3 linked regions of the Cricetulus griseus genome follow. The main gene of each other region encodes a partner of the protein of the gene in region 2 in a complex. Links are inferred from orthologs where the notes say so. Each region holds a gene or a part of one and is shown on either strand. Other genes may lie near its edges. The genes, in order: Prkab1, Prkaa1 and Prkab2.

Region 1 (10,315 bases), on a different chromosome or scaffold from region 2:
TCAGCCAAAGGTTAGTTTACAACACTCACGAAGACCCACAGCAAGAGCAAGAGATGAGGTTGGCCCTGCAGGGGTGGGGCGGCCGAACTTCCACCATAATTACATTGGCTCCTTTCAGTGGCTCTCAGCCAGGACAGTTTCCCTTCCTTCTTCTACATGTTGCTAGAGTGATAGCTAGTGATTCTGGGTGATAGTTTTGGTTGCCACAAATATGGGTTCCTTGTGGTATTCAATGGGTAAAGAGGTCAGGGCAGTGCTATAAATATCCTGTAATTCACAGAGAGCCTTCCTCCCCAATAGCAAAGAATGATCTATACCTGTAGAGCCAAGACTAAGAAACTGCTCTAGCTGTTCCAGGCAGAGGCAGTTCTGGTCAGATCTTTCTTGCTGGTTTAATTGCTATTTATTCTGTCTGAAGCTATCAAATGTATGTTTCTCCGAAGCTGAGGGGGCTGTGGGTGGCAACAAAGTACAGCAATGGTCGCTTCCCCTAGGGTCTGTCAATGAATAATAGAGCTGTTTGCCCAGAAGGGGTTACTAGAGGTGGAGAGAAGGACTTTGAAAGTGACTCTGCTACTGTACACACCTGGAGCTGTCTCCTGGCCTCCCTGGCTGTGGAGTTTCCAGGTGGGACAGATGAATTCCCTTTGGGGTGTGGGTGTGGCAACAGTAAGGGCTAGCCTACTGATGTGCATCCCAGAGACAGTAGCTGGGCCCCACAGACGAGGCTTCAGCTTGTAGGATCCCCTCTGAGGTTTGAACTCAGAGGTATCAAGAAGACTGCATGATTCCTACAATTATCTGAGATGGTGGATGGGCTTTACAAGAAATACAGACATATTCATGACTTCCTTGCTTTCTCTTAAAGACTCGAACTCAAAGGCAAAGGCTCAAGTTTCTGTTTGTCTATTAATCTGCTGGGTACAAGTGCTGGAGACCCATGTGAAGCAGCTTTAACTCAATGGGCCTTTATCACATCCTTCAGACTGTTAACATGGGTGGATTTTTTTTTTTTTTTTTTTTAAGAGTCAGGGTTTCTATCCTGAAACTAGCTCTTGTAGACCAGGCTGTCTTGAACTCACAGAGATCTGCCTGCCTCTGCCTCCGCCTCCCAAGTGCTGGGATTAAAGGCATGTGCCACCACTGCCCGGCTATGGGTGGATGTTTCTGTGTAGTGCTGCTATAGTAAATTGCACCTGAGACGGTGTCATTTATAAAGAACAGATTTATTTCTTGTACTTCTGGAAAGTCTGAGACAAGATGCTTAAATGTGGTCACCTGGCCAGGGCTGCTGTACAGGGGCAGAAGGCTTTGTCCTCACATGGTGGAAGTCATGAAGGTAAACTAGCCAAAAACTTCAAGAAGCCCTGTTGTAAGGCCTACCTCATGAGGGTTGGGGGGTTGGCTCTCATGACCCAACATCTTAAAAAGCACCTTTTAAACTACAGTGCAGACAAATGAGCTTTGGATGGGACAGTCAGACCACAGCAGATGAGCCACGGTGTAAGTGTGAATGTGAAATTGTGCTCATGTTCCAGGAACCTTGTCCTCTAAAATGCCCTGGTCTCTGGCCTCAGGCATGGGTTTCTAGATTTCCTAAGGAGCTGACGTTACACTGTCTTGTCCATTCACTAGAGTGCTACAAGGCAGCACCGAGCAGACCTGGAAGTTCTCATTTTTTCTGGGGGAAAAAAAAATGAATAGAATCTCAACTTCCTCTGGTTAGTTTTACAAATCTTTATTGAAACTTACACATCAAGATGACAGCAATTCAGTGTTTTGAAAACAGTAACAGATGGTACCCAAACTCAGGTTAGCCAAATACTGGACATCACTGAGCTTGTTCTCACCTCTCTGGCAAGAACGAAGGATATAATGGTAACTTCTGCTGACAGGTGACAGGAACCTATAACCAATGGGCACATCTGTGGTATCACTATGGAAACCAAGATGAGTGTCATTCACACTAATCCCTAGGGCATCGTCCTGCTGGGAATATAGCAGGCTGCTGTAGGGGTTCAAGTTCTTCTAGAACAAGCAATAGCAATCACTGTGACATCCTTTGCTCATTAGAGACATGGGTCCCCAGCTAAATAGCACATGCTGGAACTGAAAGGAGGGTGAGTGCTTTGACAAAGGTGTCATGGAAACACTGTCACCATTACAGTTGAAGGAAAGCGTGAACAACCTCCCATGATGGCCAGTCCTCAGGATCATTCAGTTTAATGGAGAATACGGCAGTGGGTTTTGAAGTTTGTGTTGAGAACAATTATTGCTGAGTGTAGTCACATGATCTACAGTCTCATCCGGGTGACTTATTGCCTTAGGTAGGACTGGAGAGCCAGCCACTGTAGTTATAAAAGGTCCTTAGTGCACACAGTGTCGGGCAACAATTGCAAAGCTGCATCTGGAAATCAGACATCTGAGTTCCCATAGATTCTACAATCTACTGCTTTGATTTGGAAGGACAGGCAAGATTGAATATTGCTTACATCCATGGCCAGGCTTCAGCAGGGACAGGCCATCAACCTTGGATGCAGACGATGAAGACTTTTGTGTGGCTTCAGTCCCTGCTCCCCAGTTTTTACTAGCAAGGTGCCAGCATTCAGGTCTGGCTTTAGACATCTCTGGCCAGTTGAGGGGATGATGTCTGGAGTACACTAGCCTCATGCACTGCAGTTCTGGGACTGCAGGCAGCCATCCCATCCCATTTCTGGACTCTTCTAGAGGCTGTGCCTGGACAAACCTTCAAGGAGGACTAGGGAGGGGTAAGATGTCCCAGAGAGTGAAGTAGGGTCTACATGCACGTGGAGAGCCCAGTGCTGCCTGCTGTCCCTGTGGTCCACGGCTGGCTCTTAGCATCTCAGATGGGCTTATAGAGGAGGGTGGTGACATACTTCTTCTTGTACCGGTGGGTTGCACTAAGCACCATCACTCCGTCCTATGAGGGTGGAGATGACCAAGACAGGACAGTCAGGTACTCCAACTTCAGAGAACGTGAGAATCACCACAACTTAAGGAAAACAGAAACTCCTGGGCAGAGCCTGAGCCAGGGCCTGTCACACCCCAATCCTGGCATGATGGGTCCTCAGAGCACATGCTCATAAAGTACTGTAAGGCCAGACAAGTCATTACCTTGATGGAGAGTGCATACAGGTGGTTCAGCATGACGTGGTTGGGCTCTGGAAGCAGCGCTGGATCACACTGAGGGAACAAAGGGAGACATAAGCAAATAAGACTTGAAGTCAAGACGATTTTCTTCCCTTACTTCATGGCACAGGCCAGGCAGCCAAAGAGCAGACTGGCTCTCAGCTTGACCTGTCTTCCCAAGCTGGGCAGTAGAAGGGCTGTGGAGACAGCAGTTGAGTTGAGAAGGTTGGAACTACCATGTACCAGAACACAATGGAATACTCTGGTCAAGCTTGCCCAGCCCCATCCTTACACAGAAGAGGTAGAAGACCAAGGACCCACTGAAATGCTTTCATGGAACACAAGATATGCTGTGCACTAAATGGCCCTGAGAAGCAGATGGGAAAATCGTAATGAAGCAGATAACAGTAGGTGACTCTGGAAGTGAACACATGGACTATGCCTTGCCACACCTTTCCACCTCAAGAGGCCAGATAGCACATTCCCAACTTTAAAGAAAATGCACTGAAAAACAAACAAACAAACAAACAAACAAACTAACTAACTAACTAACTATAGGCAATTAGTCTGTGGTGGCTCAAAGTCAAGGTCTCAAGGGAAGGGTGTGTTCACATCATTCAACAATCCAGGAATCCCAGAAGGGTGAAGGCAAGAACTGAGGAGGTGTGACCAGGCCTTCCAAAACGAAGCTGGACGGCCTTCGCCATGCTGTTCTCGGTCATCTTGAGGGCTCTGAGTGTGGACTTGGGAGGGGCAGGCTGCATCCTAATGAGCTGCAGCAGTTAGACAGAGTCTGGGGACAGAAGAGTACATTGTGGTTTGGGGAAGGGGTGGGTGGAGGTGGAGGAGCTGGGAAGCCAGGTCTTAGTCCTAGCCCTGCCCTGGCAGCCGAGCTTCCCAGCACTGCACTTGTCCTCCAGTCAGGCTGAGCATCTCAGAGGCTAACAGCTCTGTCACACATTCCCTGAGAGCCCCTGCTGGGCAGGCCTGGCAGGAGGAGAACGAGAGCCTCAGCTAAATGCTGCTTCAGTCAACTGCTGCTGGGAGGTTTCCAAGAACTACAGTTAATCTGCCGTTTTTTAAAAGTTAACTAATACTTTGAGCACATCATGCTTGGGACATGCAAGTTCTGTGGAATTCCTACACTGGATCAGTAACATACTCATCATTTTCTGTGTGTGGTTAAAAACCACTAAGATTACTCTGTGCTGTTAATAAGCCATCAATCGGTATCATATATGGAAAACATTATGTATGATCCTTTAAGTTAGACACACACAACCCATGAGTCTGTGCATGCAATGCATGAGTGCATCCAAAGGAAATGAAATCTGGAGAGACATCAATACTCCCATGTTCACTGCAGCACTATTCACAATAGCCAAGATGTGGAACAACAAACCATGGATAAGTGGATTTCAAATGAGGTGGCAGTATTAACTGCCACCTCAACAGCATTTCCTGGATGGGACACGGCGCATTTATTATGGATGAGTATGGATGCAATGAGACCACCTCCCTTAAACTCCCACTGCTGTTTTCCCTGTTAGGATAAACTAAACCCTGAACTACAAATCCAAATATACCCTTTCTCTCTTAAATTGCTTTTGTCAAATATTTTATTACAGCAACAGGAAAAGAAACTGCAACAATGATGTGTGGCTCAGTCTTAAGAAGGAAGGAGATTCTGTCATTTGTAACAATATGGATGAATTCTGTGGACATTAAATAAGCCAGGCACAGGAAGACAAAACCATATGTGCAAAATAGGAGACAGAGCAATAGTTACAGGAAAGATACTGGTCAAAAGGTACAGAATCTCTCTGGATATGAGAAACAATTGCAAGAGCAGGTGGATCACACAACAATGTGCTAGATTTCTCAAACCCTCCAAGACAGTGAGCTCAGCGCTCTCTTTGGGATGCCACTCAACATTTGTCTCTGTACCTCAGCCTCTTTACCATGAAGCTTAAATAAGACCACATGGAGAACAATTCCCTAACTGGAAACAGGTCTGTTAGAGCCCAGGGTTGCCTGTGTCAGAGGAGGCCTGGCACGGGTTATCCCTAGTCATGTCTCCCTTGCCTTCCTAGCTGTGGAGGGTGCTGAATGTCTTCCAACCTCTGAACTGTTTTAGAAGAGGGAGGGGAGCAAGTCTCACCCAAATCTTCCAGGACAGCGGCTAAAGGTCCCTGAAGACCCCACTGGCTGCACGTTTGAGGTGTTGCCAACTTAGCACTGGACACAGGGTCAGTCTGAAGTTTGCTGGTTCTGCCCAGCAGCCTCTCCTGGATACACAAAGATGACCACACCAGCTGTTCTGTACTTGGACTCTCCGTGCCTAAGAAAGGGGAGTCTTTAAACTGCCCTGGTGGCCCAGCAGTGACTTCTCTGAGGGAAGCCACCTCAAAGTCATGTTGATTTCACTGCCATGTGGAGTTTACTTCTGGGTGGAGGGTCAAGTGGCGTGGTTATTTTAGCACCTGCTACGGTTTGACTGTGTCCCCTAAACTTCATGTACTGGAAACTTAATCCCCAGTGACTGCTGGGGATGGGTAGTGAGACTGGAGCATGTTCTAGTGTAGGCACCCTGAGAGTGGGTCAGTCATCTTGAGGGCATTGTTAGAAACAGCTGGCTGCTAAAGGGCCAGGCTCCATGTTTCCCTTCTGCAGGCCACTGCACAGTTTTTCAGAGGAAATGTGTTAAGATAGCTCAAATTCTGACCCAGGAGGACCGATATTTCCGAAACACTTGGTAATTAAAATTCAATTCTAAAATGCTATGGCTGAAGGAGGAATTCCAGGATCTAGCTGACCAAGAAGAGGTGGTTAAATATTTTCTCATGAAATTTAAATATAACGGGTGTCAACCTTTCACCAGTGGCTTATGTTCTCAGTGTCAGAGGACCATGGCAGTTCCCAACAATGGAAAACACATGAGCTCTTTGTAAGAAGAGCTCTTCGTAAGAAGTGGGCAGAAAAGAAAACAGATGAACATGACCACGAAGGAGATCTGGACAAAGTACTCACAGAAATGCCCGTGTCCTTGTTCAGGATGACCTGCAGCAGGTGTGGAGGGAGGATGGGTGGGGCTTTGAACCGCTCTTCTGGTTTAGAGATGTAAGGCTCCTGATGGTAAGGTCCTGGAGGGGAGCTGGACAGCTCTGTTGGGAGATGGTAACAAAACATGCTGAGACCATAAGCTCTGGGAGTTGCATTTGATTATGGTATCATCATCTAGCTTTCTGTCCGTGTTCCTTCAATACAGATCTGTATTTTCTTCAAAGACACTCAAGCTCCAAAAAGGAAGAACAGAGAGATTTAAAAAAAACAAAAAAAGAACACCTTTGGAATTTGGGTGCTCATTTCTCTCAATGGCAAACTGAGATGCTCCAATGAAAAGACAGTCTGGGTCACACTAGCGGGGGGCCATTCCTAATGACCTAACCTCACCTGTCAGAAGAAAGGCTTCCTTCTTACTTTAGGCTGGGTTTGACAAACGCCACAAGTTCAAGGCTCAAAATAGGGAAAAGTGGCCTAGCCTAAGCTACAAGCTCTACCAGGCAGAATAAAATAGGTTTAATGAGGTACTGGCATATCAAAAATAAGTAAGTAGAGGCTCTTTGGCTCCACACTCTCAGGTCTGGGATTCCTTTTTTTATTTTTTTGGTTTTTTGAGACAGGGTTTCTTTGGAGCCTGTCCTGGAACTCACTCTGTAGACCAGACCAGGCTAGCCTGGAACCCACAGAGATCTGCCTACCTCTGCCTCCCGAGTGCTGGGACTCGGGTTGCACCACCACCACCCAGACAGGTCGGGGTATCTTAACTATATAGGCACAGTAGGAAGTCTCTGAAAGTGCGTGTCAGAAACAGCTCAAAGTGACATCTGGCTGGCTGAGGTACTGAGCCATTATCCAAACATCAGGATGGGTTCTGGTCACCTGATCCTTAAGCTGGTCCAGAACTGCCAACTTTCTCAACATCATTTTCTAGGTCATGTTCCCCTTACATGATCCAACCACACATTACAGCAGAAACACTGAGAAAAGCATTCAGGAAACGGAGCCATGAGGAGTAAGCACACGGTATTAGGCATTAGAGCTGGAGAGGGCTCAGCAGCAGAGACAGCATGCTTCAGTGTGCAAATCAAGTTCCATGTCAGCCAGTGGGAGTAGTGTGCACACTGCCTCCATGCCTATTTGGAAACATGTGACTGGTCATATGGGGACAGCCAGTGATCCCAACAAAAAAGCACTGGTTTTAGATTTCTAACCCAGATCCACAACCTGACCTGTTAGCCACAGCCAGTGAAGCCCACCAGTCACTTTACAGCTGTGGTGTCACAAACAAATAGTGAGAGATCCCAGAAACAGAACCTCCAGACCCACCCAGGAGATGGTGGGAAATCTGTAAACGGAACAGAATCTGTTTTCTCAAGACTCATTTTACTGTCTCCCATAGGGCCCAGGAAGCAGCCTCTGCATACAAGAGGAGAAACTGCAGCTGCTGCCGCCATCTGCAATAACTCCCTGTGACATTCCAGGTGGTCTCTTCCTATTGGGTGTGGGTGGACCGCAGTCACCTGAAAGCTCCATGGGTATAAGATTGTTTACCAGGACCAAGCAGAACTGGCTTCCAGAAAGGAGAGTTGTGTTATGCAGTCTGTTTTCTATAGGCAGCCACTTTCTCTCAGAAGCCTGACAAGGTGCTAATGGATTGCACAAATGACAGCCAAGGTCATTGAGGTGTCGTTTATCACCTGTCAGCCTGCAATTCTCCAGGCACTAGAGTGGGAAGTGAGCTGGCAGCTTCCCTGGTGCTAGCTCATTACTGACCCAAGTGTCTTCTAGGGCCTCTTCAGCCTCACCTGGGGCATAATATCAAGTTTGGTTCTGTTCCTATAGCCAAGTGGAACTATAGAATAGCCCACAAGACGGGGCAGTGACTTTTTGGGGTTAAACGCCAACAGCCAGAGCTGACAGAATTAGAAATGAACTTCTGTGGCCCAGAGAGCTACAACCGTCCACCTGGTCGGGCAGCTCTTGCTCAAGTGTGAGAGGCAAGGGAAACAGAGTATGTATGTCCAGGCTGCACAGCCCCAGCCTGCACACATGTGGGATAAAGTAACTGTTCATACCAGACACATCGGAGCACTTTTGGGAATCCACCATTAAAGCATCAAATACTTCAAAGTCAGTTTTCTTCACTTGAATGATGTTGTTAACTGTGCCAAGCTGGCTGGTTACTATTGGCTGGGAAGAGACAGACAGGCAGAAATCATAACATGGAAGGTCTGTGGAGTTTTTCAGAGGACTAGAATTCCTGGCTGGATGGTCTCACCACCTGGCTAGCTACGCTTGGTCAATTATACCAATGGCCTGGCAACTGCTGCTATCTAACTCGGAGCCACATGAAGGGAGAGGCACCTGACAGAAGTCACAGGGGAAGTGGTTGGTGTTAGCTATGTGGGCACCAGAGGGCCGGGGGCAGCAGGAAGAGTACCTCAGAAGGATCGTGCGTCCACTGACCATCCACAAAGAATTTGTACTGATGCTCTCCTTCGGGCAGATCCAGGATGGCGACAAAGTTATTTTGGCTGAAGAAAGAGAGGAAGCAAGTGTTTCAGCTCAGAGGGCTGCCCTCTGACTCCAGGTACAACCAAGGGTTCGGTTGCAGGAGAGCAGACATGTTCAGCCAGTTCAGACAATTCTTGGTCACAACCTAGGAAAGCCACTTAATAAAGCAGGAGGCAAGGGTTTCCAGAAAACTCCCTTTGCTCAGACACTGGGAACCTAGGATCCTAACACTGAAAAGTCAACAAATGGTTAATTCATGCTTTTCAATCTGCAGCCTAGGTGCCAGGAAGGGGGCCCACAAAGACAGACGCAGCCGCCTAGCTTTCCCTTTGTCAGTTTTCCTTGAACAGGGAGATGACCAGTGTAACAGGGCACACACACATATATATAAACTTGTTGTTTCTTGGCCTGACCTGAACTAACTCGAGGCAACTGGGCCCAGTGGTTGCCTCCTTCAATGTTAACCATGGGAAAACAGGGGCTCTGACAACCACCAGGCATGGCACAGCAGGGTGCTGTTTTTCCCTTCATTTATTTACCAGAAGTGGCCTCTGGTGAGCTCTTGAGACAGAATCCACATTGGGTTTTTGAGGAAGTCTCTCAGTATATCCTTGCTAATGTCATCAGAGCAGGTACCTTCCAACCTTCCAAGAGCAAGAAAGGGAGGGCCGATAGTCCCTTACAGAGTGACTATTTAGTGCAGGTAGTAAGGACTCAGATCTACACCTCTGAGGTTCCCAGCCCAGCACTCTCTCCATTGCACCAGGAACAACTTTTTCAAGAAATGTGTAGCTGAGTGTCGGAGTGTGGCTCAGAAATATTCTCCACTGACATACTGTTGTCTTTTAAAAAACATGCACTTAAAAACAGTGACGTCTAGGGTTTGAGATCTGAACTCTGTAACTCATTAAACAAAATATTTTTTCACTCAACATCTTACAAAAATATCCTTTATGCTATTCAGCCACAGAGATCTTTTAGAAACAAGAATATATACACAGCTAAAGCAACAAGAGAACTGGAGTCCCAGCCCATTACCTCCTTGTGAGTGGAAGCTTGCTCCAGTTGTTGAAGGATCCAGACAAGTAGACCTCTTTTCCACCCCCTGTCCATCGAAACACAGTTGGCCGAGCCTGGGCGGGGGCTTTATCATTCACTTCAAGATCATGCTGCCAGGCCAGGAATTCCTCCTTCTCTGGAGCCTAAGAAGCAGAGCCATTTACTCAGGGTCAGGCAACCTCCTCACATAGGACTGCTATCTAAGAGCGACAAAACGCTCTAGTCAGGCAGCTCTTGCCACTTACTACGACTTACATCTGTTCCCCTGCCTGCAAAATGGAGATAATAAAAATAACCACTTCTGTCAGTTTGTGAAGACTGGTCTGACACACAGTCAGTGCTTAATCGTTAGCTACCATCACTGCCATTAGACTTCACAAAAATTCTAGAGGAAGCTGTAAGGCTTACTTGGAAAAAGATTGCCATGAATCCAAGGTGAGTTTATTAACATGAGAGAAAGGGACACATCCAGCCCTGGGGTGAAACACAGCTCTTCAGACAGAAGAAAAACCAAAGACTAGATTTCTAG
Region 2 (10,315 bases):
GTATAATTAGTTTCAGGCTAAGCAATTCATACACATAAAATTTATCCTCATCCTCATGACCCAATTCTGTATGACTCAAAAGGCTATTCTCTGAATGATTCCCTATTATATCATTTAACTGCACATATAAATGGATATTGAACCATATCAAGAACTATGCTAAAACTTAAAAAACAAAAATGAAAATGAAAACAACACCAAAACACAGAAGAAAATACCCCAAAGAATAATGGTTATTGTCTAAGAAACTGACCAAAAGTATTATTTTATTCTCTTGTTTTTGTTTTGTTTTGTTTTGTTTTGTAATTTTAAGGGCATTTGTTTGTTTCCAAATGGAGACTGGTCTTGAGACAGAATCTCACCATGTAGACCAGGCTGGAATCAAACTCACTGCCATCCTCCTTCAGCTTCCCAAGTACTGGAATTATGGCTGTGTGCCACCATGCGTAGCATTTCTATCAGATTTTAATTATGAAAAAAATACCTAAAACATGCAAATCTACTTCTCACTTGGATATTTTACAACATCAATTTAATAGAACCAGTTTCCCTTCCCATCTGGGAGCTAAAGCCATGCCCTGCCACTTGGGATCTCCTTTTCAGCAGGCAGGGTCTCTCTATATAGCCCTGGCTGTCTTGAACAAACTCTGTAGACCAGGCTGGCCTTGAACTCACAGAGTTCCAACTGCCTCTACTTCCCGAGTACTGGGATTAAAGGTGTATGTCACCACTGCCTAGCTTCAGCAGGACTTTTAGCATGAGGGGTAAGTGGAAAGGAATAAAGCTTAAATTCACATGTTAGTCTCTTCCCGCTCTTCCTGGTTACCCCAAGGCTTTCTTATTTATTAACTCCTACAGGCATACAGTTTTCCTTCCTTCATTTCTTTCTTTCTTTTTCCCTCCCTCCCTCCCTCCCTCCCTCCCTCCCTCCCTCCCTCCCTTCCTTCTCTTCCTTCCTTCTATCCTTCCTTCCTTCCTTCCTTCCTCCAGTACCAGAAAAATGTACAGTCTAGCCATCAGAATCTCAAAGAATTAAGGAGAACAAAAAGGGAGGGGGATAAGACAACATTGATGGCAGAACAAAGACTCCATTAGGTACTCTGAGTGTTCATGAGAAATGGCTCACCTCAACTTGAGAAACGTATATCTGCCACCATCAGTTCCGCCTTACGTAAACTATGAGGTTCAACCACACACAATGCAACATTATCTATAAAACTCAATTTCCTATGACTCAAAGTGTACTGCTAGAAAAAAAATACGTCATTAATAAAATGAAATTTTATCTTGAGACTCAAAGAGGTAGAAAAGTACACTGGTTTAAAGTTACCTGATGTCTTTTATTGTGGCCCTCTTCATGGGATCTACCTGCAGCATATGCTTCAAAAGGCTGATCACAGAGGGATTTAAATACTGAGGGGTATAGAAAATCCCATCGCATATCTTCTTAAAAAGAGTTGGCACGTGGTCATCATCAAAGGGGAGGGTTCCACATAACAAGGCATAGAGAATGACCCCACTGCTCCAGATATCCACCTCAGGGCCTGCATACAATCTGAATAGGGAAGGCAGCTGCATTAATCACAACAGCCGAATGCACTACTCAACATTCTTCAAATACAAGTATTTTATGAAGAATAAATACAAGAAAATCATTTTCAAAGAAATGAGTGATCAGAATATGGTATTTATAGCAACTGCTGCACATCATACATAAAGATGTTAATGTTACCAGTATTGCCTTTTACAAGTTATGGTGTTTTGTCAATATTGAGCCATGGGTAAAATTGTTTTACTGCCTTACTATGACCCTTAAAGGGTCCTATCAATAAAACCCAATAAGGCTCATGATCAATGTTGAATTTGAGCCATGGAGATAAGATACTTTTTTAAAATAAATTTTATTCCATGTGCGCATGTGTGTGTGCACACGCGCGCATGCGGTAAAATGTGTATGTGCCATGTGTATATCTGTGCACACCCACAGTGAGTGTGGAGGTGAATGACAAGTTGTGGAGTCAGTTCTCTCCTTCGACCTTTAAGTAAGTTTCAGGGATCAAACTCTGGTCATCACACTTGGCAGGAAGCGCTTTCCCAGCTGAGTCATCTCACTGGACCAAGATTCAATTCTGTAGTGCCTGACTCTGAACCCATTTCACCCATTTCTCCTAAAACCCTCACATCAAAATTCAAGAGCTTGAGGCTGTAGAGCAAGCCAAAGTAAGTGGAATTCACAGAGTACTTTAAACTTCTCCTTGAAGCACTCTGGAGATAAGTATCTCCCCACACACACACACAACTTTTTTATTTAAATGCAATCTTATTTTACATATCAATCCCAGTTCCCTCTCCCTCCCACCCTCCCTCTTGCCCCTCCACCTCCCCATCCCACCCGCCATCCACTCCCAGAGAGGGTGAAGCCTTCCAATCAGAAGGGTCAAAGTCTGTCACATCATTTGGGGCAGGACCGAGGCCCCTCTCCCCTGTATCTAGGCTGAACAAGGTATCCCTCCAAAGGGAATGGGCTCCAAAAGCCAGTTCATTCACTTCCAGCGGCCCCATTGTAAGGAGCCTTGTAACCAGGCAGGCAAAGGCCTGGCTGGAGATTAGCACAGAGGCTACAACCAGGCAGGCAAAGGCTTGGCTGAAGAAAGATTAAAGGAAAGGGAGTATAGGCCCACTACGCAGCCCAGCCGCTGTAGATAAGAGTGAAAATGTGTGAAGTGTGGCAAAGTGTGATTAGCACAATTTAGCGAATTATTTAAGGCCCAGCTCAGAACTAGGAATTTTAGAGTGTACCACGACTCTATGTCCTGGAGCTCTCCTCCGTTAACCTAAGACAAACCAGTCCATCAAGCTGAGTGCTGCCGGTTCTGAGCCAGACTCCACACCAGGCCCTCAGGAGACTCGCTGTCCTGAATCCAGAGGAATGGAAGTCCCAGCCCTAAACCTAGGGCCACTGCAGGAGAGGTACTCCCTGCTGTGAGCCTATTGTCTGTGGTTCTTAGGATTGTTTGTTTATGCTGTGTGTTGCTTTGACATAAGTGTGAAGTAAAACTTATACTCAAGACCAACTCACTGAGTTTGTCATTCCTCCCAGGTCAAAACCTGGTAAGGGCTGGAGACACCCAAAGACTGCCCAAACCCCACAACTGACACCCACGTTTGGGGAGCTGGAGACAAGTGAGTATCTTAACTCACTGCAAAAAAGTTGAATCATGCATTCAGAGTCTGGCTTTAGGGGGAAAACATGTAAAATAAACTATTACAATATCAATAAAAACTTTTTTGAAAATAAGTGTTTCTATTCATCCAGACCTCAAAGACTGACTATGCAAACTGGACAGATTTCGCTAATAGCTCATTTTATGTATGCCTGCTCATAATGCATCACTTTTAATATAATTATATATACCACTGTATCTAGGTCTTGCATATTTTTGACTATGCAAACTGGACAGATTTCGCTAATAGCTCATTTTATGTATGCCTGCTCATAATGCATCACTTTTTATATAATTATATATACCACTGTATCTAGGTCTTGCATATTTTCATACCAAAGGAACTAAGATAGAAAACACAAATGAATTTTCTTGTTTGATTGGTTTTTTGAGACAGGGTTTCTCTGAGTAGCCCTGGCTGTCTTGGAACTTGCTCTGTAAACCAGGCTGGCCTCAAAGTCACAGATCTGCCTACCTCTGCCTTCTGAGTTCTGGGATTAAACACGTGTGCCACCACCACCCAGCCAAGATCAGCATTCTTATGTTGCAGTATCTAGCAGATCCAGAGCAAGACTGAATGCAAGTGAATCTGACTTTCTCCCTCTCTCCCTTTCCCCACCTCGCTTTTTCCTGATACAGGGTCTACGTGTATATGGTCCCACCTCAAAACATGTGCAATGCTCACTACATCCAGCCCGTCTGCCTGACTTCCAATTCTGGAGGACCACCTTCTTTAATTCAATTTCCTAAGACACTTTCTTTCCTCATAAAATATGAAGCTACTACACAGATGCCATCTATTTGAATAATTATGAAACTTTACATTACATTATACTTGTAACTCTGTTTTGCTTTCTGCCTGGGTGTTTTGTTTGTTTTGTTTTTCTTGGATATCAACGAATAATCTCAACCTCTAGAATTACAAGCATGAACCTCTTATAATGCTCATTTTTTATTTTTTGTCAGGTTAGCCATTTCTCTCGAGAAAGTTGTTTGCTAGTCAGGTTTTCAGCAACTTACCTATCTACCTTTACAACTGACTTGCTTTAAATTCTTCCACCAAAGGAAAAAATTAAAGTACTTCATCCTAACTACTTTAACATGACTTGCAAACCAACATTTTTGTCTATAAATGGATTTGCTAATTTATCCACTTACATTTTTTATAAAATTTATTTTTATTTGTGTGTGTGTGTGTGTGTGTGTGTGTGTGTGTGTGTGTGTGTGTGTGTGTGTGTGTGTGTGTGTATGTGTGTGTGTCTGTCTGTCTGTCTGTCTGTCTGTCTGTTTGTGGTGTATACACACATGCATGCACCTGCTTGCAGAAACCAAAAGCGTGCTTTGGGTCTCCTGGAGGTAAGTTACAGCCAGTTGTAAGCCACCCAAAATATGGGTGCTGAGACCCAAACTCCAGTCCTCTAGAAGAGCAGTAAGTGCTCTTAACCACAGAGCCACCTCTCCTGTTCCTTGTATATTATTCTTAGAATGCAAAATTTGCAAGTGAGAAAATATTTCTCTCTTCCTTCATTAGTATTAAATGTGACAATATAGACTAATAAAATCTAAAAAGAAATAAGTACTACAAATACATAAAAAGTATCATACTATCAAACACTACCTTCCTGAAATTACTTCCGGTGCAGCGTAATTGGGTGAGCCACAGCTTGTTCTTAAAAATTCACCATCTGACATCATGTTTGAAAGACCTGAAAAGACAAACAACGGCCACTCAAGGTTCCCCATGGACAAAACTGAAAGTCCATTTTACAACAAAGCCAAGTTTATGATAACAAGATTAGCCACCATTTATTTTTTCTTTGCTTCAATGTGATCACAGACTTTACCTCCTAAATGTTCTACCCTTATACAAAAATGCACAATTCGTTTCTATAACTAGAGTTTAATGAGTATGTATTAAACTAGTGATGGCTTTGTTTACTAGAATAAATGTGAAATGCTTAACTTTCAAGATAGATATTGGTAGGCAAAATAATCTCAGAGAGATAGAAAGATTTCTACCAGTCCTGCTCTGTTCTATAAAAACAAAACCCAAGCCCAGAATGGTCACCGGAACCTATAATCTCTGTATTTTATTCTCTTTTCTTTCATGAAAGAGGGCCTTACTATGTAGCCTCCATCTCTGGGATACAGGGTTCGAGGCATGTGTGACCATATCTGAAATTCAATTTTAAAGCATTTAAATATTTAAAAGTTTTCTTTCTAGATTTCAATTTTTTCAATAATTCCACCCCACTTACTTTCCATTTTCTCCATACCTGACCAAAAGAATATATTAGATATAAAGTCACTTTGTTTCAAATCTCTAATGTTGACAATTTGAAAGATTTACTATCACAAAACTGAATTTTATGGCTGGCAAGATGGCTCAGCAGACAAAGGTGCTTCCCACCAAACCTGACAGCCTGAGTTTAGTCTGTGAGACCCCCATGGTGGAAGAACAGAAACAACCCCCAAAGATGTCCTCTGCCATTTGTATATGATTCTGGGTACATGTAAACATGCATGTGTGGGAGTGCTGCGTGTGCCCAAGTGTGCACACATGTGTGTGTGTGGGGGGGGGAGGTTTGTGTGTGCTCAGGCATGCGACTGCATGTGTACATGTTCACAAAATAATTAAATCTCTTTATACTCAGTTTTGAAGAGAGGAACTCAGTGTTTTTCCCTTTTGCATGCTCATTTACAAGATGGGATTCTCAGCATAACCCACAGACACAACTGAAGGCGGCTACGTATACTCCTGGAATAGGTCAAAATGTCCTTACCGAAATCAGCTATCTTTGCATTCATGTGTGCATCAAGCAGGACGTTTTCAGGTTTCAGGTCCCTGTGGACCACCATGTGCCTGTGACAATAATCCACACCAGAAAGGATCTGCTGGAACAGACGTCGACTTTCCTTTTCATCCAACTAGGAAAAGTAGAGCAGTATCTTAAGCTATGTACTATATTAAGTAATACAAGTTTCAATGGAAACTTATAATTCTCCAGCCTATAAACTGCCAAAGCATGAAACCTTCCAAGTGAATGTCACCCATGAGGTACTTTTGAAATGGGGAAGAAATGCAGGCAAACACTAAACTGACTGGAACACTAAACTGAAATGCCAGGAGGTTACGGGGACCCAGATCAGCAGCTCAACTTTCTGATGCTATCACCTGCACAGACTGCACTAAAAAAACCTGTCGTCTTCTGTAGTTCATGGGCTAGGACTAGTAGTTTCAACATCTACCTGAAACTAGGCATGCTGTTGGCTCTAAGTTAGTGATGTTTAATCCTTTATTCTTTTAATAAATATTTATTGAACACTTTCAATATGCTATACAGGTTAGACATTCATGATACAGAAATGAATGAAAGGAAAGCCCTATTCTAGTTGACAAAAATTCAACAGTTAAAAAAAACAAAAACACATCAGTGTAACAGTGGAGAGAAAAAGGTCAGAGTGACACAGAACATGCTCCAATGGACAGATGCAAACCCATGGTCAAACCGACAGTCCTAGTCAGACTCGGTCAATCGCCAAACAAAACAAAAAGTCATGCAAGCAAGAAAGAGGCCTGTAGGAAGGAAGGGGAGTGACAGGAGTGGGAGAGAGAAGCGATCATAGGAGTGAGAATAAACAGAATGCACACTCACATGGATGAAACTGCCCAAGAATGAAAGGAAAGGAAAAGAATACAGAAAGTGCTGTTGGGATGGGGTTACTACTTAAAGCACTGTAAATTAAATACAAAGTAACCATAGACTGTGTTCTGAAATTTAAGGTATTTTTAAGGGTGTGTGTGTGTGTGTGTGTGTGTGTGTGTGTGTGTGTGTGTGTACAGAGGCCAGAACTGTAAGGACACTGGAGCCTCTGGATCTAGAGTCAAGAGACAGTCGTGAGTCACCAACATGGGTGTTAAGAACCAAACTCCAGACCTCTGAGAGAACAGCACACCCTCATGACTGCTGAGCCATCTCTTCAGGCCCAAGATGCTTTTATCTAAACAAAACAAAACCCTTAATTCTTTTTCCTTTTGTGTGTTTAAAAAAATCTTACACTACAATTAAAATGTTTAAATATAATCTTTTTAAAATAATCTTCAAAAATCTTCCCTATATTTTCTGATGTATGCTCATCAAGTAATAACCACTACTGGTTTACATCTGCTCCAGGACAGTGCATTTAATAAATAAGCCACAGATCCCCTAGGCAAGGACTCTCATATGCAATCCTCTGGCAGGTCATGAGTGGGCATCCTAAATCCAGAATTCTACACCTTCAATGCATGGATAATGTGGGGACAAAGATAAACCATTTCTTGGGATGCAAAATTAAAATAGCTACTGAAGTGTAAGACATCCTTCCTCAAGAAAAATATGTTAATGTTTTTGCAATCTAATGCCTTCATTTGTTTCAGTAGATGTTTATAAAAAAAATGTATGAAAGAGGATGAGAAGAATTAACTAATAATATAAGAGGTAAAATAAGTAGAAAGACTACAAAATGAAAAGTATTATACTTAGAGAAATACAGTACAAAGAATAGCAGAGACTAAAGGAAGATGAACAGAGCCATGCTCATTTCAGCTGATGAGATCACATGGAGTATGTGGTAACAGTACTAGATGTTATCAGCAATGCACAGGGCCCATAAAACAAAAAGACCGAGAGGCAGCAGCCCTCAAGAGAAGTGCTTGAACAACAGATGAAGACAGACTGAGCACAAAGAGAGAAGCAAAACCAAGGTCTAGAGAAAGAAATCACCACAGCAGGAACAGGGCAATGTAGGGAAGATGCCCACTAAGTGACAATTGGCACACTAACAGAAGAGACTTGACCCCTACTCCCAGCTCAGTTCCAACAGCTAAACTACTACTGTCAACAAAATAGAAAATATCCAATCGAATGAAGAAGAAAAATACTTATGATTGTTAGCAAATGATTTACCCTACCCAAAATAACAACTCAACTTATGGGAAAAGCCACCAACCAATAAGTCTCACATGTCTATGAGCTTGGCATTTGGAACTTCATTCTGACATTTACATGGACAGTCAAGAATCACCAAATCTGAGGAAGAGTTATGAAAAACAGGAAAAAGGGGGGTGGGGAGGATAAGCAGGACCGAGAACAGAACAGTGCAGAAATCTAAAGACAATTAAAACCAAAATGTGTTTCTCAACCAGGTAAGGGGAAGTCAAACAAGCAGGCTGTCTAAAAATTTCAGAAAATAAGGCAGATATCTGAAATACAGAAACAGGACAGCTGAAAATTCAGCATTTAAAACATAAAACTAACAAACAACCCATAATGTAGTGCAAAATGACTGGAAATGACAAGCAGAAGAAAAAAGATAAAGAAGGCAGTGGTTATTTTAGGAAGAATTCCTCTAGGGGGCAGGAGTGGGGCTTTGAAGGATGAGAAAGGGAATGCTTTAAGTAGAAATTAACCGTGTTGAGAAATAAGTAAAGATTAAATTGGTTAGTAAGTTATTATTCTGATTAAAGAGAAACACTATGTAAAGCAAATGAATGGATAACGCACATAACTTTAGACTGAGAGCAGGCCAAGTTCTTTTCTCAGTGCCAGGTGTGGGTCTTTTAGAAGGTATAAATCCCATAACCTAAGGCCGGGTATGGGCAGGAGACAGTGCTCAGTATTCATATCTATAACTTAAATGTCTCCACAGTCCTTCCAACACCAAAGTCTTTGACTCTAACACCTAAGCCCTCCATGAAGCCTGTTCTTACTGTTCCAAGTACATCAGAGTCCAGACCAAAGAGCAGATGCAACTTAAATATGGCCAGGTTAACAACAAGTCCTACTACATCTTTGGTATTTAATAATATATATATATTTTAAGGGATACTTATAAAGTTTAAGATGCATATTAAAAAGTTTGTTTTTGTTGTTTTGTTTTTTGTTTTTTGTTTTGGTTTTTCAAGACAGGGTTTCTCTGTGTAGCTTTGGAGCCTATCCTAGCACTCGCTCTGGAGACCAGGCTGGCCTCAAACTCACAGAGATCCCCTTGCCTCCCGAGTACTGGGATAAAAGGCCTGCTCCACCAATGCCTGGCTGCATATTAAAAAGTTTTGTATAGTGAACCATTATACAGGGGGGACCTGAGCATCATAGATTGTTGGTATCAAACTTCAGAATATATTAAGGAATGTTTGCCTGAGTGCTTCATTAGTGCTTTTAGTAGGAAGTCAACTGTATTATTATGGTTTTTTACTGAAATAAAAATACCTTTTCTTTTGGAAAAAAAAAAAAAAGGTTTGTTTTGGCTAGGCGCACTTTTAATCCCAGCATTCATAGGCTGAGCATGCCTTTAATCCCAGCACTCGGGAGGCAGAAGCAGGGAGGTCTCCTTGCATCAAAAGCTAGTCTGATCTACAGATTGAGTTCCAGGCCAGCTAAGATGACATAGTAAGAGCCTGTCTCAAAAAAAGGAAAAAGGTTTGTATACCCAAAAACATAAATCTGAAGAGTATACATTTTAGGGATTTAGGTGAACTCTTATCACTAATAAGTCATGTGACCTTGAACAAATATATAACTTATTATCTATGTCTGTATAAGTGGGCTCAGGGGCCCATCAATGAGGTCCTTCTTTCTACCTCTAAGCAGCCTATAAGTTTAAGCAAATATGACTAAGGGAACTGGCTACTAAACAGACCTCTGAAAATTGCTTTCTGACATTTTGATGCAAATAAGGGATACAGGGGAGTTACAAAATATGTACAGGATTAAATGAGAATGGCTTACCCTTCCATTTTTACAGATATAATCAAATAGCTCTCCTCCTGAGACATATTCCATCACCATGAAAATATCAGATGGTGTACTGATGACCTGGTACCTGGTGAGAGAAAACATTTATCTACTAATATTAAAACGTGTATTCATCCATTCAATAGTCACTAAGCACCTATAATACACCGGGTACTGTGCTAGAAGCTACAAGACTGTGGGGAACAAAGCCAGTGTCCTGTTTCTGTGCTGCTCTTGATCCTGGGGCCAGGAAGCAGACAGTAAATAAGCATTAATTATGTAGTGCAGAGCATGCAATGGAGAAAAGGAAGCAAA
Region 3 (10,315 bases), on a different chromosome or scaffold from region 2:
AGATACAACAGAAGCCACTGTGTAACAATGAGACCCTAAATCCTCCTCCATGGCCCAACTTCTAAATGGGCACTGGGAAAACAAAACAAAACCCAACAGCCTTTCAGTAGAACTGAAGAGCCGCTAAGTTGGTTATGATAGGATTAGACCTTAGTTTCCAAAATGGCACGCTATCCAGAAATTCAATTGCACAATAAAGGTTCTCTACAAGAGAGGAGGGGAAAGTGGCTTGGGATGGCCGAAGCAGTACTCACCCCACCAATTACCTACCAAGGCATTCAACAAATCTGTATTCCCTGTGAAACATCCCCACACCTTCCTGCTTCACACTTGTGATCAGAGAGGTCTCAGGATCCCAAGAGGACGGTTGCGCCAATGTGGAAAGTCAGGAGGTAGCTAAAAACTGACCTGCAGGTCCCTCTCAATGTGGCTGGCTCATCTTAGCAGACATGAAGTGTCTCAACCATGAACGACACTAAATGCTTGGCTTGCATTTATCTGTAAAACGGAAGTGTCAAGATACTTGAAGAAAATATTTTCTTTGAATCCTGAGTGGGTTAAATACTATTCAGTCAGTGGTAACTAGTGACCCACTCCACAGTCAAACATTTAAAAGAAAGAGGCAAGAAAAAAAGCATCTTGTTAATACTTGGTGCAAAGAGCAAAACAGTGCGTGGTTATGAACACAGGGGTAGTTAAAGTTCCTCACCTTACACATCTTTAAGGGGGAATCTAGAATGTGCATCTATGAACTGCATGAACTCAGGTCTAAAGGAGAGGTTGGGTAATGAATGAGGTACACATGGCTGCCATAATAACCCAAGACTATAGGACTCCCTAGACTGGAGAAGAACCTCTTAAGAACCGCTGGTCAAAAGCCTGAGCATCTTTAATAGCTGTTAAAACTGATGGATTTTTTTTTAATTAAAGAAAAAAGGTAGGCATATAAAACTCTTTCAGGGATGAAAGATATGGAAGGCTCCCTAATTCTACATGACAAACTGTCTGCTCTGATGAAGAACAGCTGGAAACAGGGCCAAGCCTGGCGGAAGCCCGTTAGCATGTGCCATACAGTCAATCAATATACAGGGCCAAACTAAAACACAAAGATAGGCATTTCTCTTAATACTGAGCCACTGCTTTTGTTTAGACATCAAAACAAGTTGTAATAAAGTGTGTTGAGCCCGTGCTGGGCTAAAAAGGAGACCTCCAGTCTCCAAGGTGAGTCTAATCCCACACAACTTTTCAAGAGGGTTTCTCACCTTACTGGGTCATGTGTGAGATCTGAGGGAAACTATTAAACAGGGTACATAAAGTGAGGGTTCTTTGTGGGGCATCTAGTGTCATATAAAAACACGGTAGATTGTGTCACATACCATGAAACACAGAATCAATCCATGCAAGGAAAGCCACCCTCCAACGAGGCAGCTGGAGTAGGGCAGCAGCCTGGCACACTGCTGACCCTCTGACACCAGGGAACAGTGGCAGAACCTCTGCCTGACAAGGATCCTAGGAGTTTGCTATTCTTTCATTTTAGGAAAAGAAGCTTCTGTATACTCATTCCTGCAGCCGCAGCCTCCCTCTCAGGCCCTGGCAACTACCCACAGGCAGAGAACCTAGACAGCTGGGCTAGGAGGCTTCCAGTAACCTTCCCCTCATATGCATATATATGGTTTTGTTTTTCTTAAAATAAACTCCATGAACTCATAAAGCTCTCATCTGCAATCAAATGCAAAAGCAGAGCCCCCTACTCAGAGGCTCTGAAACACACAGATCAACCTCAACACAAATCAGCCTTCCAGCCTCAGAGGAGACCGGGTCAGTTCAAAGGCAAGGGAGACGCTTCTCCAGAATCCTTGGAGGCAAGGAGTGATGTCCTCTTCAAATGGGCTTATAGAGCAGCGTGGTGACATACTTCTTCTTGTAGCGATGGGTTGCACTAAGGACCATCACACTGTCCTGCAGGGGAGAAAAGCACATACAGCTAGTTCGTTAATTTGTGTGGCTGCTGGGTCTTACCAGCCATCAGTCTTCCACAGACACTCACTGTCTTGCTAAAATACTCCAATAAAAGCCATTTAATGGAGGGAAGGGTTACTTTGGCTCACAGCTCTGGGCTGTAGTCCATTATACCAGGGAAGCCAAGGCATCAGGAAGCTGAAGCAGTTGACACATTGCACATTTGTTAAGCATACTTTCTCCCACTTTATCCAGCCGAGGACACCCTGCCCAGGGAATGGTCTGCCCACAGTTAAGATGGGTCTTCCTATACCAATTAATGTATTCAATATAATTCCCCATAGGTATACTCAGACTCACACCTCAGGTTGTTGTAAATTTTTTCAACACAATTTTTCAACACTAACCAACACATTTACTTCTCAAGAGGCAGTCTGAAATAAAAGAGGCTGGCTTGGCTGTCAAATCTTACTCAGTTCCAGTCCAGTCTCCGGTTGTCGTGGTATCGGTTGGCAGCCTTGAGGAGTCTATATATGGTCTCTATGTCCCACCGCCCCCTTTAAAACTTCTTCATACAAAGGATAATAGCTACCCTTAAAGGGGTTCTGATTACAAGATCAGATGAAGTATCTGATACATAAAAGGCCATGAAGAAATACTATTTTACAGTTTTATCATTCCCCTTCTCATTTCAAATTACAATATTAGGCCTATGCCTAGCAAGGAAAAAAAGTGCTATCAACCATTCCCAGAACAAAATATTAAATGCAGTAAAAGGGAAATGATCCTTCTCAATGCTCATTCCTAAGGCCTGAAGCAGGTCCAATTGCCACTTAACGTCAAAGATGAACTGTGTGACTCAGAGAGCACTGTTGGAGTTCCTATCTAACCTTAAAAGTACAGCAGCTTCCTGAGACAGCCCATCTGACAGGTCAATTCCAAATGGCCAAACAAGCTGAGAACCCAAGTGGAGCTGAAGAGGCAGCCCCGTCCCTTGTATCACAGCCCCGTCCCTTGTATCACACAGGCACCAACTTTCAGGATGTATGAGAGCATGGTTTGCAACAGAAGAGATGACCAGGGACACCAACTGACAGCTACAGAGCAGTCACAGGAGGAAAAACTCAACCAGATCTCAAAGAACCCCAAAAGTCCAACATAGAGACCAGTGCAGCTAGCTGTCTTCCTTTACCCTGCATTACCTACAATGACGGTGTCCAGGACTAAGACTCTGGCTGGACTGTGCTGAGACAGACTGACAAGGTGGGAGCAGGCAGGGAAACTCAGCTCCACGAGAGCTGCAGATTTGGAGCAGGTGAAAGACAAGCATCTGGGAGAAGACCTTCATGGTAACAGACAGGAAAGAGCAGGGGGTGGGGGTTAAGAGGACTGAATCTCAGTCTGTCTTATACTTACTGGCAATCTGACCTTCTCTGAGTCTTAGTTTCTTTATCTACAAAACAGGGGTTAAAAATAATACTTCTCAAGGTTACTATGAAAATGAAGTTCAGTACATTAAAATTTTATAGACACCCACACACTCTATTAAAGGCAGCTCTATCAGTGGCCTCCCTGTTCTGTTCTCACCGCACATCTAAGCAACCTGAGCAGCTTCCAGAGAAATGGCTGGGGGTCCCCTAGGTGCCTGCATATACTCAGACTCAGGAAGGATACCTCTCAATCTGTTGCTCACCAACTGCTCCAAGGAGTTCCCTCAAGGACCGGCTTAGCCAGCCACAGAACTACATACCTTTATGCTAACATTCAAGCCACAAAGATACTAAAGCAACAGAGAAACTAAGGACTCTAGGGAAAGGGTGGGAAAAACATAGACGTCTGGTAAAACCAACTCCCTATCTACTATACAAGCGATAGAAACGTGTGGTATACACAAGCAGGGCATCTCATTGCAGCTGATTCCATATCTTAGGAAGCTCTACTGTCTTACTCAAGAACTTGTTGAAGGAAGCTATACCTGATTTTCTGCACATGGAATCCAACTACCTGAACTCCAACTTAAGTAAACAGGTGGTACAAAGGTTCCAGCCACCCACAGACACTGGGAAGCAGAAAGGTCCCCATCACTGACAGTTCAGCTAGCTTGAGCCCAGAACCAAAAACAAATAATTTGTTTGATGGGTGGTGGTGTGCACACCTTTAATCCCAGCACTTGGGAGGCAGAGTCAGGTGAATCTCAGTGAGTTCAAGGCCAGCCTGGTCTACAAAGCAAGTTCCAGGACAGCTAGAGCTATTACACAGAGAAACCCTGTCTGAGGGGTGGGGGAAGCTTCAAAGGAGACTGAAGTTTAAAATCAAACAGCCTTGAGGTATGAAAAGACGGCTCTTCTGTAACTTGACTGTCAGTGTCAACTGCAGCTTTAAAAGCCGCAGAAAGCAAGTTACCACCGAAAAGCATGTGTGACTCTTACCCTTCCACTCGGGAGGCTGTGGAGCGTCGCGGCCACCACTTACCTTAATGGACAGCGCATAGAGATGGTTCAGCATAACATGATTGGGTTCAGGAAGTAAGGCTGGGTCACACTAGGAGAAAAAACAGCCCCACCCCCCACAAATGTGATTAAATGCAGACAAAACCAAGTTAACTGTTCCTTTGAACTGTTAAGAACTCTAAATAGGTAACACTTTGTCTCCTATGAATTATGTATTCCCACATCATAAAATCTGGAAAAATCCTAAATCTAAGAGTGAAATGCTAAGCCCCAACATCTGCTAACTTTCCTTAATAGAATTAAAACAAAAACCTTGCTGACAGGTATAGATGGTTTGGGAATCAACCATCAATTAAGTAAAATAGAGATAAAATTTACTTACATAAAAAGTTGTGAATTCTGTATAACCCCTAGTGAGAGTACCCTTATCTTGTGATAGACTAGAAGTCATAGTAGACATTAATTCCAGCATAGTTTGGTTCTGATTTTACTAGAAACAGAAACAACTATAAATTCCGCTATTGGTACCTAAAGTTCAGTCTTGGAAAAAGTATTCTACAGTGCTGCTGACATGCACATGGCTTATTTCATTGCCTTGACAAAGCTGGGTCCTAATTCCAGCCCCAAGATTCCTGAAGTTTGGCCTCAATGGTCCTAAGATTCCCCAGACGCTTTAGCAACCTGCTCAGGATACTCACTGAAATATTAGTGTCCTTGTTAAGAATAACTTGGAGTAGGTGAGGGGGCAGAATGGGTGGGGATTTGAATCTCTCCTCAGATCGAAACACATACATTTCTTGACCATAAGGCCCTGGGGGTGAGCTGGATAGGTCTGAAAAATATTCATGCAAACGTGAAGGAAAGTTGAAGGGTTAGTAATAACGCATGAGGAAAACTATCAACACAGCCATTAATCTTAAATGTAATATAGGTCCTGAAGCAACGGACTTGTGACCTACTGGCCTGTAACTGTAAGCGAGCAAAGGAAATGTCTGAGTTGTCCTGAACATGGACCAGGAAGATTCCCAACAAGGCAACATGATGTAAGGAAGTGATGAGAGGCCAGCACCTAGGCTCCAGGAAACCAACTCCATTTGTCAGCGATATGTCCTTGGACAGATCCCTTTAATATGGTCAGTTTCCTCATCCTCAAGATAAAAATCTTCCCAAGTCATAGTGCTTTTGAAAAAAATCAAAGTGATAGTAGAAATAAAGATGCTCTGTGAACTCAATGTGAAAAGATTAGATTTCATTTTATTTCTACCAAAGTAACAGACAACAACGTTATACACTCTAAGTCTACAATGATTACAGCAGACAGAACACACTGTAGCTGTAGTCAAGGAAGTGTAGATGTAAGCCACAAAAAATACCACTTCATACTCAGTGGGATGGCTGCCGCTGAAATGGCAAGTACTGGGAAACACTGGCAAATACTGTGGCTTCAAACTACAGTATTTCCACCACTGGTAGAAATGAACAATAGTGCAACCACTTTGGAAAACAGTATAGTCATCCTCAAACAGTGAAACTTTGTGACCCAGTAATTACAATATTGGGTTTATCACCTAAGATAAAACATAAGCTACCCCCCCCAAAAAAAAAAATCTGACCATGAGTGTTCTTAAGCAAAATTTGTAAGAGCTCCAAGCAGAAAACAAATGTCTGTCGACAAGGGATGGACAACCAAGAAGGAACTGTCATACCGTGGACTTCTATTCAGCCACAAACAAGCAAAGTACTGATACATGTTTCAACAAGGATGAAAGCCCCAGAAGCCTGCTAAATGAAAGAAGCCACATGGTGCATGGTTACATTTGTATGAACTGTCCAGAACAGGCAAATGCATATGGCAGAAGCTTTGTGACTGACACAGGGCAGAGAGGAGAAAGAGATGGGTTTTAAAATTCAATAATCAAAAAAATAAATAAATAAAAGGATAAATTTTACAATTAAAAAATATGTGTTTTATGGTACCGGAATTCTACTTAAAAAATGAAAAGCATTCAGGTTAAATTTACAAAAATTAAATGAACTATGTTTTCTTTGTTTCACAATTTTAAAGTTCCAAAGAAAAGATTTTAGTAAGTCTATTTTAATAACTCAAATTTGCTTCAACATATAAGGCAAAAGGAAAGAAGTAGCAACAACATTGTATTAAATATCCACAAACACCATTGGTAAATAACACAGGACAATTTTCAAGTGCTGTCCATGGCACTAAAAAATCCAAGTAGGACATTGAAAAGTTATGTACATGCCTACACCCATTATCTGTATATTCCTAATAAATGGATTCTATGCCTTACATCACTGGATTAGGAAACTGGGTGAACCCGAAAGTGTTTTAGTCTTCCCATTACATAATTATGATTGACTGTCAAATATTCTTTGGTTACTTTGCAGATCATAATATAATCATAGTCCTAGTGGCCTCAGAATATAAACCTTTTAAGATCACCACCCCTCCAGCCAATAAGAATGCTCACCATAACTTTCTGAGTTTATATAATGAAACATTTTTTTTTTCTAAATTGGTAGTTACTGTGCTATGGACAATTTGTCCCTTGTCCTTGAGATTCTGCTATGTGCTCTACTTCAGACAATATGACAGAGGCTCACTGAGGGTCCAAGCCCTCAATTTTACTGCTGGGAGTCAGTTGCACGATGGCATAACAAGTAGCAGAGGCAGACTTTGTATGCAAGAGGCCATATGCTCAGTGCAGAAAGTGTGCAATTCTCCAGGCAGGCACAACTCCATCATACAGTAATGAGATAGTAACTATGGATATGGTTTGCAAAACGTGCCTCTGCTACTACAGCGAACAAGCACAGCTATAAAGACTTTGGGGAAAGTGGTATTACACCAAACAAAAATAAACAGGACTTTCACCCTGTATATTCAACTCCATGGAGAACAGCTATTGGTTTGTTTTTTTCTCTCTTTTCTCTTTTTCCCTCAGCAACAATTACACTTGTAGGCTCTCCTAAAACCATAATTGTCAGCTGAGCTCTCAAACTAGCTGATTCAGGTTAGGAAGACGTAGCCAGCCTTTACAGGTAATATTACCAGATGCTAATGGAAAAGTGTGAAATCTTACTGGAAACAGCTTTCAAAACCACAGGCTATGGGTGGGTTATATAAAAGCAAAATGGAAAACAGTGTATCCAAGTAAGAAAGGCAGACATTATACCAAGGGATTTGTGTTAAAGTGGGGTGTGTAGATGGTGTGATTATAAGATTCCTGATAAAACAAGAAACCACTTTGGGAAAGAAATATGCATTGTAAGAAAGAGAAAGCAATAGTGCAAAATTACCTCGACAAGATGTCTCAGAGCTTTCCATGGAATCTAACTTTAAAGCATCGAATACTTCAAAATCAGATTTCTTGACATGGATCAAATTATTAATTGTGCCAAGCTGACTGGTAACCACAGGCTGAAACAGTGAATAAAAAAAAAAAAAAATGATTGGATTCCCTTTTCAAATCCATCTTCTTCACCCAACCTCCACTCTACTTTTAGGAAAAATCTCTACTAGAGAGGGCTGTTGCCTACTGAATCAGAGGGCAGTAAGTCATAGTGAGGCCACTGAGGCTTCCCTGCAAATCAAGGCCTTACCTCTGATGGATCATGAACCCACTGTCCATCCACAAAGAACTTGTACTGGTGCTCTCCCTCTGGAAGATCCAGGATGGCAACAAAGTCATTATGACTAGGGAAGAAAACAGAAGGTCAAACTGGCCAAGTTCTTTAAAGAAGACAGAATGGAGAAAAGGGCAATGATGGCACCATCACAATCACCTTCCACATTCCTATGCTATACAGCCCTTGTGCCCCAACCCCCTGCAAAGTATAAATCCATCCTCTTTTTCTGTATCACTCAAGCCATGTACCTGTCAACCTCTCCCAATAACTTTATTCTTAACTAATCTGTGTGCGTGCTTGCACCAGGGTGTGGGTGTGAAGTGTGGGGTGTGGGGTGTGGGGTATGGGTGTAGGGTGTGGGGTGGTGTTGGGGTTGGGGTCAGAGGATTGATTGCCAAAATATTTTCTCTTAGTAAACTATTTTGTTTCAGCAGAACAGAACCTTGGGGCTGGGGAGATGGGCTCAGCCAGGAAGAGTGCCCGAGAGCTTGAGGACCTGAGTTTGAATCCTCAGTAGCCACATCAAAAGCTGGGCATGGCTACACATGCTTGTAACTCCAGCACTGGGGAGTAGAGAAAGCAGACCCAGAGAAACTGCTGCCAGTAAAGCTAGCTGAAATGGAGAAAATCTGGTTCAGTGAGTTTGTCTCAAGGTTAGAAGTCATAGAGGAAGATACTCAGGTCTTGCTGTGGCCTCCACATGTATATACATGGGCATACCTGACTGAATGTACATGTATGCACATATACATGTACACACACACACACACACACACACACACACACACACACACACACACACACACAGAGCAGAGCCCTCACAAGTATAAATAAGGTAAAAGGTAATATTTCAGGGTACTCTTTTCATATTTTGGTGAGCCTTTTCTCGAAAATAACCTATTATATAAAAGGTCACTCTGACAACCACATAAATCATTCACTACTGCTTTGCCAGCAATGAACTGGCATATACTTACAATATCATAATGCATTTTGCTTTAATACAGAAATCAAAGCAATGGGAATTTGCTAGTTGCAGACTTCCTCTGGACAAGAAATGGCTTGAGAAGCACAGTCCTGAAGAAATGCACCCATAATGCTGTTAGAGACTCCCCAGAGGCCTACTCTCTCCCCTGAGAAAGGGAATCAGGTGTCTACTCCTGCACTCTATAGATGCAGCGGAGACGCGTGTCCTCACCTCTTAATCAGTGGAATCTTGGTGCTCCAATTGTTGAAGGACCCAGAGATGAAGACCTCCTTGCCCCCTTCAGACCAACGGATAACAGTAGGCCGGGCCTGCTGGGTGGGCTTCACAGAATCATCCAAGTCCTGCTGCCAGGGTACAAACTCTTTTTCCCCGGGGAGCTGTAAGAAGGAGTAGGTCATCCCTAGAATAAATTATGACCCAAGGTTTTTTAAGAGGTAAGTTTCCCTGGGGTATTAAAGGTTCTAGGTTTCAACTAAAGATAGCAACCCTAATTCTAGCAATTAAATCAAGAGTTTTAACAAACTACAGAAAAGAACTAATATAGGGTCCAAAATGGTCAAATGGCTTATATCCTAGCATAGCCTAAATCACAACCTACTGCCCAGTGTGCGCATATCATTTTCTTTGCAGAACTTCTCTGGATCACCCCTCAAACAAACAAACAAAACCCTCCAAACCCTTCCTCCAGTCTCATTTGTGTGTAGCCAATTAAGATACACTTCTGACGGTCTCTTTTTTTTTTTTTTTTTTTTTTTTTTTTTTGGTTTTTCGAGACAGGGTTTCTCTGTGTAGCTTTGGAGCCTATCCTGGCACTCGCTCTGGAGACCAGGCTGGCCTCAAACTCACAGAGATCTGCCTGCCTGACGGCCTCTTAAGAGAAAAAAAAAATGTAAGAAAGTCAAGTATGGTTCTTTAAAAGAAAATCAAGCCAGATACATATTTTTTTCAGAAGCAAACAGGTCTCGATTGTCAATTGCAATTAAAGTTATAGATACCAAAATTCCTAAGTAGTTAACAATGCTGTTTTAGCTACTAGGTTATACAACGGAACATTAAAGGTGGAGATGTAGTTCCGTGTAGAGCTCTTTCCTACCAAGCACGAGGCTGACGGTTTCATCTCCAACACCATCATCTATCAATCGACATAAATTCCAAAGCAAGACCACCGATTCAGTATGGCTGAAATGGTTATGAGACCTTACTTGCTAACTGAGGCCAGGTATATATAATTGCCCCAAGAAGATGGATGATATTTTGGAGCTCTGTGTGC

What was found.
Region 1: the proteins of Prkaa1 (region 2) and Prkab1 are in contact, whole or in part, in a crystal structure (PDB 6C9H), measured with the Homo sapiens proteins. The link is inferred for Cricetulus griseus from reciprocal best matches to the Homo sapiens genes PRKAA1 and PRKAB1. Residues at the interface, in NP_006242.5 of Homo sapiens: Gly20, Val22, Lys23, Ile24, Thr32, Lys40, Lys42, Asn59, Arg60, Ile63, Arg64, Val69, Ile72, Arg73, Ile76, Gln77, Val93, Ser95, Thr96, Pro97, Ser98, Asp99, Ile100, Phe101, Met145, Met175, Ser176, Asp177, Gly178, Glu179; in NP_006244.2 of Homo sapiens: Pro79, Val81, Arg83, Leu103, Pro104, Thr106, Val113, Ile115, Asp159, Phe160, Glu161, Val162, Phe163, Ala165, Leu166, Met167, Val168, Asp169, Ser170, Gln171, Arg201, Ala202, Pro203, Pro204, Ile205, Leu206, Pro207, Pro208, His209, Leu210.
Region 3: the proteins of Prkaa1 (region 2) and Prkab2 are in contact, whole or in part, in a crystal structure (PDB 4RER), measured with the Homo sapiens proteins. The link is inferred for Cricetulus griseus from reciprocal best matches to the Homo sapiens genes PRKAA1 and PRKAB2. Residues at the interface, in NP_006242.5 of Homo sapiens: Gly20, Val22, Lys40, Lys42, Asn59, Arg60, Gln61, Lys62, Val69, Arg73, Val93, Ile94, Ser95, Thr96, Pro97, Ser98, Asp99, Ile100, Met145, Met175, Ser176, Asp177, Gly178, Glu179, Phe180, Arg199, Leu200, Ala202, Pro204, Glu205; in NP_005390.1 of Homo sapiens: Val80, Arg82, Ser84, Ser108, His109, Asp111, Ile115, Ser138, Asp159, Phe160, Glu161, Val162, Ala165, Leu166, Ser182, Ser184, Gly190, Gln191, Glu192, Met193, Tyr194, Ala195, Phe196, Glu199, Arg201, Lys203, Ser204, Pro205, Pro206, Ile207.

Annotation. Positions count from the first base shown.
Region 1 is NC_048597.1:96,092,276-96,102,590, forward strand, and holds the end of Prkab1 (5'-AMP-activated protein kinase subunit beta-1), read right to left. Parts: intron 9,930-10,315; coding exon 9,766-9,929; intron 8,748-9,765; coding exon 8,654-8,747; intron 8,404-8,653; coding exon 8,289-8,403; intron 6,315-8,288; coding exon 6,181-6,314; intron 3,205-6,180; coding exon 3,136-3,204; intron 2,942-3,135; coding exon 2,864-2,941; 3' UTR 1,723-2,863; downstream 1-1,722. UniProt on the Homo sapiens protein: Non-catalytic subunit of AMP-activated protein kinase (AMPK), an energy sensor protein kinase that plays a key role in regulating cellular energy metabolism.
Region 2 is NC_048595.1:339,144,300-339,154,614, reverse strand, and holds part of Prkaa1 (5'-AMP-activated protein kinase catalytic subunit alpha-1), read right to left. Parts: intron 10,089-10,315; coding exon 9,995-10,088; intron 6,153-9,994; coding exon 6,008-6,152; intron 4,931-6,007; coding exon 4,843-4,930; intron 1,556-4,842; coding exon 1,331-1,555; intron 1-1,330. UniProt on the Homo sapiens protein: Catalytic subunit of AMP-activated protein kinase (AMPK), an energy sensor protein kinase that plays a key role in regulating cellular energy metabolism.
Region 3 is NW_023276806.1:58,808,731-58,819,045, forward strand, and holds part of Prkab2 (5'-AMP-activated protein kinase subunit beta-2), read right to left. Parts: intron 9,423-10,315; coding exon 9,256-9,422; intron 8,125-9,255; coding exon 8,031-8,124; intron 7,849-8,030; coding exon 7,728-7,848; intron 5,242-7,727; coding exon 5,108-5,241; intron 4,501-5,107; coding exon 4,432-4,500; intron 3,413-4,431; coding exon of another isoform or gene 3,376-3,412; intron 1,960-3,375; coding exon 1,882-1,959; 3' UTR 1-1,881. UniProt on the Homo sapiens protein: Non-catalytic subunit of AMP-activated protein kinase (AMPK), an energy sensor protein kinase that plays a key role in regulating cellular energy metabolism.